Coturnix japonica: one gene and its partner. The protein of the gene in region 1 interacts with the protein of each later gene in a pairwise test. Links are inferred from orthologs where the notes say so. Each region holds a gene or a part of one and is shown in the gene's direction. Other genes may lie near its edges.

Evidence for each region. The genes of interacting proteins can lie anywhere in the genome.
Region 2: the proteins of AP1G1 (region 1) and AP1S2 interact in binary tests that used the Homo sapiens proteins (3 or more experiments, as listed by UniProt). The link is inferred for Coturnix japonica from reciprocal best matches to the Homo sapiens genes AP1G1 and AP1S2.

What each region holds. Positions count from the first base shown.
Region 1 is NC_029526.1:17,674,814-17,678,587, forward strand, and holds part of AP1G1 (AP-1 complex subunit gamma-1), read left to right. Parts: intron 1-341; coding exon 342-397; intron 398-593; coding exon 594-707; intron 708-1,183; exon of another isoform or gene 1,184-1,270; intron 1,271-2,450; coding exon 2,451-2,591; intron 2,592-3,157; coding exon 3,158-3,212; intron 3,213-3,774. UniProt on the Homo sapiens protein: Subunit of clathrin-associated adaptor protein complex 1 that plays a role in protein sorting in the late-Golgi/trans-Golgi network (TGN) and/or endosomes.
Region 2 is NC_029516.1:109,762,692-109,767,212, forward strand, and holds the start of AP1S2 (AP-1 complex subunit sigma-2), read left to right. Parts: upstream 1-1,539; 5' UTR 1,540-1,556; coding exon 1,557-1,562; intron 1,563-1,576; exon of another isoform or gene 1,577-1,755; intron 1,756-2,053; exon of another isoform or gene 2,054-2,425; intron 2,426-2,904; coding exon 2,905-3,083; intron 3,084-4,521. UniProt on the Homo sapiens protein: Subunit of clathrin-associated adaptor protein complex 1 that plays a role in protein sorting in the late-Golgi/trans-Golgi network (TGN) and/or endosomes.

The sequences.
Region 1 (3,774 bases):
ATTTGTTGTAGCCAGAGGCTTTGCCACTATGTTATTAGTGCTGTACTTTCCATTGCATTATAGTGTTACAAGGGGGGTAAGAAAAAAAAAAAAGGAAGAAGAAAACAAGGGAAAAGGTGGGGGAGGGGGTTCAGCAAAACCTTCCTGAGGACTGTTTCTCATTGAGTAAAGGAGAGAGCCCATACAAAGTTTGTCTTAGTTTTCCCTTTGCTTAGTCAGGCCCCAGAGTTCTTTGTTATGCTTTTGGCCAAGAAGCACAGTAGTAATGTTGCCTTTTAAGTCATGTTTAAGCAGTGATGGGGGATTTCTTTGTCACTGATCTTTTGTAACTTTTTCTGCAGGTCTTAGCTATTAACATCCTAGGCCGTTTCCTATTGAACAATGACAAAAATATTAGGTAAGTTGTATGAAGTGTGCTCCATCTATGCTCAGCTTAAGATGTCTAAGAAGCAATGACACAAAGATTATACTAAGTAGGACTTTCCAGGAGAGTGTTCTTTGAAGTATTGTTTTGAAGTGTGGGTAGGTATATTTGTACGTAGAAATCGAATGCTTACCATTAACTATTTTCTTATGATGTATTCTTATCTCAGATATGTGGCTTTGACATCACTGTTGAAAACTGTGCAGACAGACCATAATGCAGTACAGAGACATAGAAGCACAATTGTGGACTGCCTGAAAGATCTGGATGTCTCCATTAAAAGGTAACTTAGATATCAGTGAAAGGGGCAGTCTCTGAAGAGTGAGCAGGACATATGGGAAAATGACAGGAGAACTGGAGAGCTGAAAATGAGACTAGTATTAATGCATCATTTGATTTCTACTTCATGTAAGGTTATAAAGATAATTAAAACATGCAGCTGCTTTCTTTGAGAAGCTGCTTTTACATTTTCCACCTCTTGGATTGGTGGGGGGATAATTTTTTCTGTTTGCCTGAATGTTTCCACAGTGAGTCATCCAGAGATGAGTTGGTGTGCTTAGAAGAGTCAGCCTTCATAAATTAGAGTCCTAATCAAAGCTATTTGGACATCTTGGTGTTACTTTTCCAAGCAAATAAGTAGGGTCATATTGTCCTGAAGCAATGTTAAAATCTTCAATTAATGATTATAGATTGAATTTAGTGCATTTCGTTGATGCCTGTTAAGGAAAACATGCTACAAACAACAGAGCTTCATGTCTGAGTGCTGTTGGAGGATGAAGCCTTTGAGTGATCCATCGGCAGAGCTTGATGTTGCTGTGCTGACACTCGTGCTGCTGACAATGCACTGTTCTCATTGAAGCAATATATTGACTGGATTTTGGAGTCCCCAGACAGCAAGTTTTGAGGTCTGGAACTTGAGAGGAAAAACATAACTGGTTTTGGTTGACTTTTGAAGCATGGCATGTCCTTGTCATCTTAAACGTTGCAATGCAACTTTGGTCTGTGTAGTGTACTTCAGAGTAGCTTTGCCATTTAGTTTAAGTTTATCTGTCAGCTTAATATGATCAAATTGCATTATTAGGAACTTTTTAACAAAATTGAGGCCCGTAATGTGATTGAATGTGAGCAATATATGGGTGGAAGTTTTTGATGCTCTTGAGGGATCTTATTTTATTAGCCTATCTCAGTGATGGACAGAGAATGATGTTCCTGATAAAGCTGTTCCATCCTTTCTATACTTGACGAGTTTGTGTTCTGGGTTACACCAAGTACTCAATTGTAAAGAATAGTCAGAGTTGTTTAGTGAGGCTGCTTTAATGCACCTTAGCATAGCAAATTGATATGGTTTCCCAGAAATGTATTTGAAGACAGTAGTCTTCATTCAGGAAATGTGGAACAGATGGGAGAGTTGTGCTACGATCAACTACTGAAGTGTCAAGTAGAAGGGCCAAAGACTGGCCTCTGATCTTTGTTTATATAGAAAAAGTAATGTCAGATAGCCAGGGCTATGTCCAGTTGTGATGTCAACTTTTGACAGGGAAGGAATGACTTCTGAAAAGAGCACCTCAATAATCCCAAGTTCTGGAAACCTTATGTAGTTTATCTGCCAAGACAACCTTATCAACTCTGATGTGTTTGAGTCTCCAATGGTTGGAGAACAAAATGGATTTAAAGATTTCTGAAACTGAAGAAATCTTGTAGCTGGTATAGCTTTCTTGCAGTTGTGTCAGACATGACCAATGTGTAACTATGAATACTTGGACCTTAACACAGATGGACTTTGGTTGTTGAAAGATATTTTTAGCCTTAGGATCTCTTGGGTGATTCCTGCAGCTGTACTCCAGTTTATGGTTTTCTGGGGTGGCTGTTTCTTGTCCTAACAAGAAAATGCTGTTGCATTTAATCCTCTGGGAAGAGCCATCCATAATAACATTGCTCTTTTAACCAAAAGGTAAGTGCATGTGAGTAACTGGACTTACTTTACTTCACCAAGAGAATATACTTTGTTTTCTGTCCATTACCCTAGGCGCGCAATGGAACTGAGTTTTGCTCTTGTTAATGGGAACAATGTTCGTGGAATGATGAAGGAGTTGCTGTATTTCCTAGATTCGTGTGAGCCAGAGTTCAAGGCAGACTGTGCATCTGGAATATTCCTTGCAGCAGAAAAGTATGGAATTTGCCATTAATTTTTTTTTCCAGTTATCAAAATCGTGAGCGTTTTTGCCTTGTCTACTCAACACTTAAGGGAGAATGGGTTGATTTGGGGGTTCATTGGTTTTATGCCTGCTGAAGGACAGGACATGCCAGTGCATCAGGGCACACTAATGTTCCCTTGTAGGCAGTCCTCACATCATTAAGACAGTCTAGTTTATTGATTTATGCTGTTCTTTGGAACAGATTTTGTGTTGACATCTTGGCTTTTCACCCCTCGCCTGTTCCATGTGCCCACTCGTGTTCTCCCTGATTACATGTGCAAGTGAGATGATCTGATTAAAGTTGAGCCATTGTAATCAATAGCCTGATTTTTAAGTATGTGTGAGCTATGGCTGTGCTTGTATGTTCATTCAACGTTTCAATGTCAGTGTTAGTAACAAAAGGTAAAAGAATTAAGTTTTTTTTATTCTAGGAAAAGGTGGGCCAGGAGGTGATAAAATGGGGAGAAGGTTCTGCTGAATTTGTTTTGTTTTTTGCTGGCATTAAGGCTCATAGTTCTTTAATTCTTATTTTTGTCAGATACGCTCCTTCCAAACGCTGGCACATAGACACAATCATGAGAGTCTTAACAACAGTAAGTAAAATTGCCTCTCTTATATGTGACTTTGTAAAAATTCTTGAATTCTATAGGTAGTTATTTATCACTGATTAGGGGGCAGCTGTAAAGTATATCAGTGCAAAACTGAAGTGTTCTTATATAATGACTTAAGGCAGCTAATACGCAAGTAGACTGTGTAGCAGAGTTTTTCTACTGCAGTGACTTCAAAGTCAGGATAACTCGTGCTTTCTGTCATTCCAATATATAGCCCTTTGAGGAGGGAGTGAATGCAGCCTTGAAGTGACTTGCAAGGAAAGCATTAAAACAGTTTATTAAAGTTAATCCAAGCTGAGTTTACTCAGTTTACTCTGGGTATAGCTGAGTGCCCTGGGAGAGTGTACTGTTTTGTACTTCAACAAAGCAAAATCAGCCATGGAGTACTTGAGGATGATAACGTGGTGGTTGTTTTTTTGTTGTTTGTTTGTTTGTTTTGTAAACGTGTATGAATCATGTGGCTTTGTGAAGGATGTCAGCAGCTGCTACGTGTTACCGAGAAGTTGTGTAATGTAACCTAACAACTTCTTTCCTTGAATACATT
Region 2 (4,521 bases), on another chromosome or scaffold:
AGGATGTTGACCTTATTTGTTCTGATACAAAATCCATATTCCAGAGAAATCCACAGTGTTCTAATCTTATTTTGTGTAAGCTTCCTTCATCTCTCCTCCCCTGTCTCTCTTCCCAGCTCCAGGCAGTTCTCTTCTGTGCCGCCAGTTGTGCTGGAAATAATCTCGAGAGCAAAGTCTTGGCTGGAGACCCCAAATGTTTTATGGTCAGCGGACACATCCCCTGAAGAACTGCCTTGTGTCTAAAACAGAATACAAAGGATTTTATAACTACAGCAGTTAGAAGAATCCATCCCATTAATAATGCAGTGTTATCACTCGTGACTTAGAAATCAAAACCCTGAGTTCATTCTTTAAAACCCACCTCGTTAAGGTAGGCCATATGACAATAAGCAAAGGCTAATGAGAAGAAGACGCAGCGTCTGCCTAAAATTAGAACGCATGACATTTGCATTGCCACGGGCTTGTGGACAACACGGAGGCTATTATATTCACAGTATCATAGTCTGGTGCGGGTTGGAAGGGACCTTAGAGATCATCGAGTCCAACCCCAGGGATTCGAGCCTCTGTGTAGCAGAGCGGCACTTCTACCACTTGCGCCATAGGGGGATTCGAACCCGGGTCCCGGTGTTGCAAGCGGCATTGCTACCACTGCGCCACCGGGGCACATATTATCGGTTTAAGCATCATATGTATCTGGCTCAGTATATAGCGACTCAAGAACAGCACAGTGACCATTAGGGAAGAGGCACTTTCTGACACAGCACCATCAGGCCTACGAACAACCGCAATAGCAGCACTCCGCCCACAGCACTAACCATCCCTCCCTCCCCTCCGCCTTAATGGCTCCGATCCCATCTCGCCCCGCCCCGCCCTGCCCCACCGCACGTGCTAGAAGGAAACACAGCCCTACGCATGCGCGGCACCGCCACCTATTCTCTGCACCATCAGTAGCTGACCCCGGGCACCGGGAGAAAGGAAGGAGGCGCCTCGCCGAACCACGGGCGGCTTGTGTGCCCCGGTGGCGCAGTGGTTAAGGACGCCGCCTTGCAACACCGGAGGCCCTGGGTTCGAATCCCCCCTGTGGCGCAAGTGGTAGAAGTGCCGCTCTGCTACACAGAGGCTCGAATCCCGGGGGTTGGACTCGATGATCTCAAGGTCCCTTCCAACCTGCACCAGACTGTGAGACTGTGAGAACCGCTATCTGCCTTCTGATTGGTTGTTGCCGCGGCGGCTGTTGAGGATTAAGCCCTTTAGTCCCGCCCCCTGCTTCGTCCCTCCCACCGCCTCTTCCTCGGCGCTTTTCGCTCTTTCTCATTGGCCAGCGCGGCTCTTCACTCCTCCCTCCCTCCGCCGCGCCGCGCTCTCCAATTGGTCAGCATCGAGCTCCCGTTGCCCCTCAGCCCTCCAACCCCGCACATGCGCCTCGCTCCCGGATCCGGCCCCTCCTTCAAGGCGGCGAACGAAGTTGTGTCCGTCCCCCCGCTGGTCCCGCCCCCCGCCCGGGAGCAGCGTCCTCGAGTCCGGCCCCGCCCCAGGCAGCCCGAGCGAGGCGGTGTATGTCTGTATGTGTGTGTTGGGGGGGGGGGGGAAGAGGCGGCCGTTGAGGCGCGCGCGCGCTGGCGCCGGGCTCGAGCCGGCGGCGTCTCCCTTCTCTCCCCTCAGTCCCGCGCGGCGGCCGTGGCGGCAGCATCAAGCTCGGGAGCGGTGCCGCCGCCTCCTCCTCCTCTTCCTCCTCGCTCTCCCCTCCGGGGCACGGTGAGCACCGCGAGCACCGCGGCGCGGGGACGGACTCGCCTCTCTCAGCTCCCTCCTGCCCCGCGCTGCCGGGACCCGCCGCTCTCCGCAACGAGAAGAGCGGCCGCCTGCTTTCCGCTCATCCCCCCCCCCTCACACGGCCGCGTTGGGACGGGCGGCGGCTGTCCCCGAACGGGGCGGGCCCGGCCCCGTTGCTCCGTGTGCCCGCGGCTCTGTGCCCTCTGGTAGCGGCTCGGGGCTCCGGGAGGGTCCCCTGGGCGGGGGGGAGGGGGTGGTTCGGCGGCCGGAGGGAGGGAGGCTGCGGGCTGACACTGTGGGGGATCCGGGCTGCCGCGTCCTGCCCTCTTCGGACTGTCAGCAGGGAGCGGGCTGGGCTTCTCCGTGGGATTTCACGTCTGCTGTATCGCCTGGGAAACTTCCTCAAGCCCGACATAACTTGGAGCGAAAAGGGGAGGAAAAGCAAAAAAAGAAAGAAAGAAAAGCCATTTCCTTTAATGTTACAGCCGCTGGAAAACACAGCTGACAAGTTCCTCTAAAGATATAATTGCAACATCACTCCTGTAGAGGAAGCGAGACCTGGAACGTAGGACCGCAGGGAAAGCACTTAATCTCTACTCCTTTTGTGCAGTGCAAGAGAAGGCAAGGCTGTTCGATGCCATAGGACTCTCCGGTGGGAGATTTAATGCCTCTTAAAAGTATTTTTAAAGGCTTTTCGGAAAGGTCTTAAGCGCAAATTGCTCGTGCTTGTAAGGCTTTAATCGTGTGAATTGGAAACGAGGTTGGGTGTTGGAGGAGATGGGTGTGCTGCTTTCTGTCGTTTTCTATAGTAAATGCAAACGCGACCATACCAATGCTGGACGTGGTTTGCCAGAATCCCGGGTGTAGTCGCTGCCTGCTGCCTCTGACTGGCGGTTCTGAAAGTTGTGCGTGCTTCCTACTATCTCTGCTCTCACTGACCTTGTTCAGCTGAATCCTTTGTGTTATTGGTGCTTCCGAATCTTGTGTAACGTCTGCCACCGGTGTAGAAATACATCATGTAGATAGGCTTTTGGATGGCTATCTCGCTTCCCGCTTGGTTTTCCTCGTAGAAATCTTCTTAGAACTTAAGAGACTGAGAATAATCCTTTTTTTCCCCTTCTAATTCAACAGATGCAGTTTATGTTGCTTTTTAGTCGCCAGGGGAAACTGAGACTCCAGAAGTGGTATGTCCCACTATCTGACAAAGAAAAGAAGAAAATCACAAGGGAACTTGTTCAAACAGTATTAGCCCGCAAACCGAAAATGTGCAGCTTCCTGGAATGGAGAGACCTGAAGATTGTCTACAAAAGGTTGTTCTTTCTCACTAACCTCGTAATTGACGTACATCAGAAACAGTGTAATGAGTAGCGAGAAAATAATGATGGTTGATTTTTTTTTTTTTTTACCTTAATTTATCTGTTTTGTTTTTTTCTTCCCTCTATTGGTTATGGAGGAGACTGACTTCCCTTGAATCTAATTTGATAACCAAGTAGGAATCATTCATGTGTAGCAAGTCATTCATGCGTTTAGAAATGTGCTGAAGAGATGAGCTTTCCTTCTTCTTTCATGAGGAGTGGTGGTTTTTAGTTGCTTAGAAGACCACGGTAAATAGATGAGTAGAAATATAAGGCATGTAGGGTTTAATAGGTATAATAAAAGCTAAATTTTATCAACATTTACCTCAGGCAGTGACTTCATAAACTTGCAGATACAACTTGCTTTTAAAGGCTCTCGTGGAATAAGGGAAACTTTTTCTTCTTTCAGAGTATGTAGTATGTTATTTTACTATGAACGCAAAAGCGTTTCTCCAGCTTAAAAACTCACAGCCAGTGTTTTTCTTGTGGTGAAGGTACCATATGATTCTCTTTGGCAGTGTTTTCCTTTCTCAGTTGTTCGCTATCATTCTGGAGTGCGTGACAAGAGTTTTCTTAGCTTTCTGCTGGTCTTTAGAATGTATGACAATGAAGAGGTGTAGAAATAATTGTCCCTGCAAATAACAGTAATTTTCATTTAGAATTAGAATTAGTTTAGCCTTGAGAAAAGAAGGCTGAGAGGGGACTTGATCCAGGTTTATAAATACCTAAGGTGTGGGAGCCATAGTGGTGAGGCTGGTCTCTTTTCAGTAGTGCATGGGGACAGGACTAGGGGTAATGGGATGAAACTACAGCATAGGAAGTTCTGCACGAATGTGCGGAAGAACTTCTTTACAGTGAGGGTGACGGAGCACCGCAACAGGCTGCCCAGGGAGGTGGTGGAGTCTCCTTCTCTGGAGATACTCAAGACCTGCCTGGACGCCTACCTGTGTGACGTGGTGTAGGGAGCCTGCTTTGGCAGGGGGGTTAGACTCGATGATCTCTAGAGGTCCCTTCCAACCCCTACAGTTCTGTGATTCTGTGATTCATTGCAGTTTGCTAGGCTGCATCTCTTCCATCTGAAGGTAGTGCTATGGAACCTTGAATTAACTCCCTTCCCTGGTTATTTACAAACTTCAAAAGGTTTAGACGTTCTTATTTTCTTTGAGGTAGTAAATAATTCCAACTCTTGACAATATTGTTATGTGCTGTTTTTAGGAAAGACAGAACTGGAGCTGAAACAAAGGATTTCTAACTTTTGCCATGAGCCAATTGAGTAGAATTAATAATAATAAAGTATTAGATGTATACATGAAAGCAGGACCTAGAACATCCGTGTATGTAACAACATACAACTGAAGACTCCCGGAGTATCTGATGTAACTCTGGAACACTA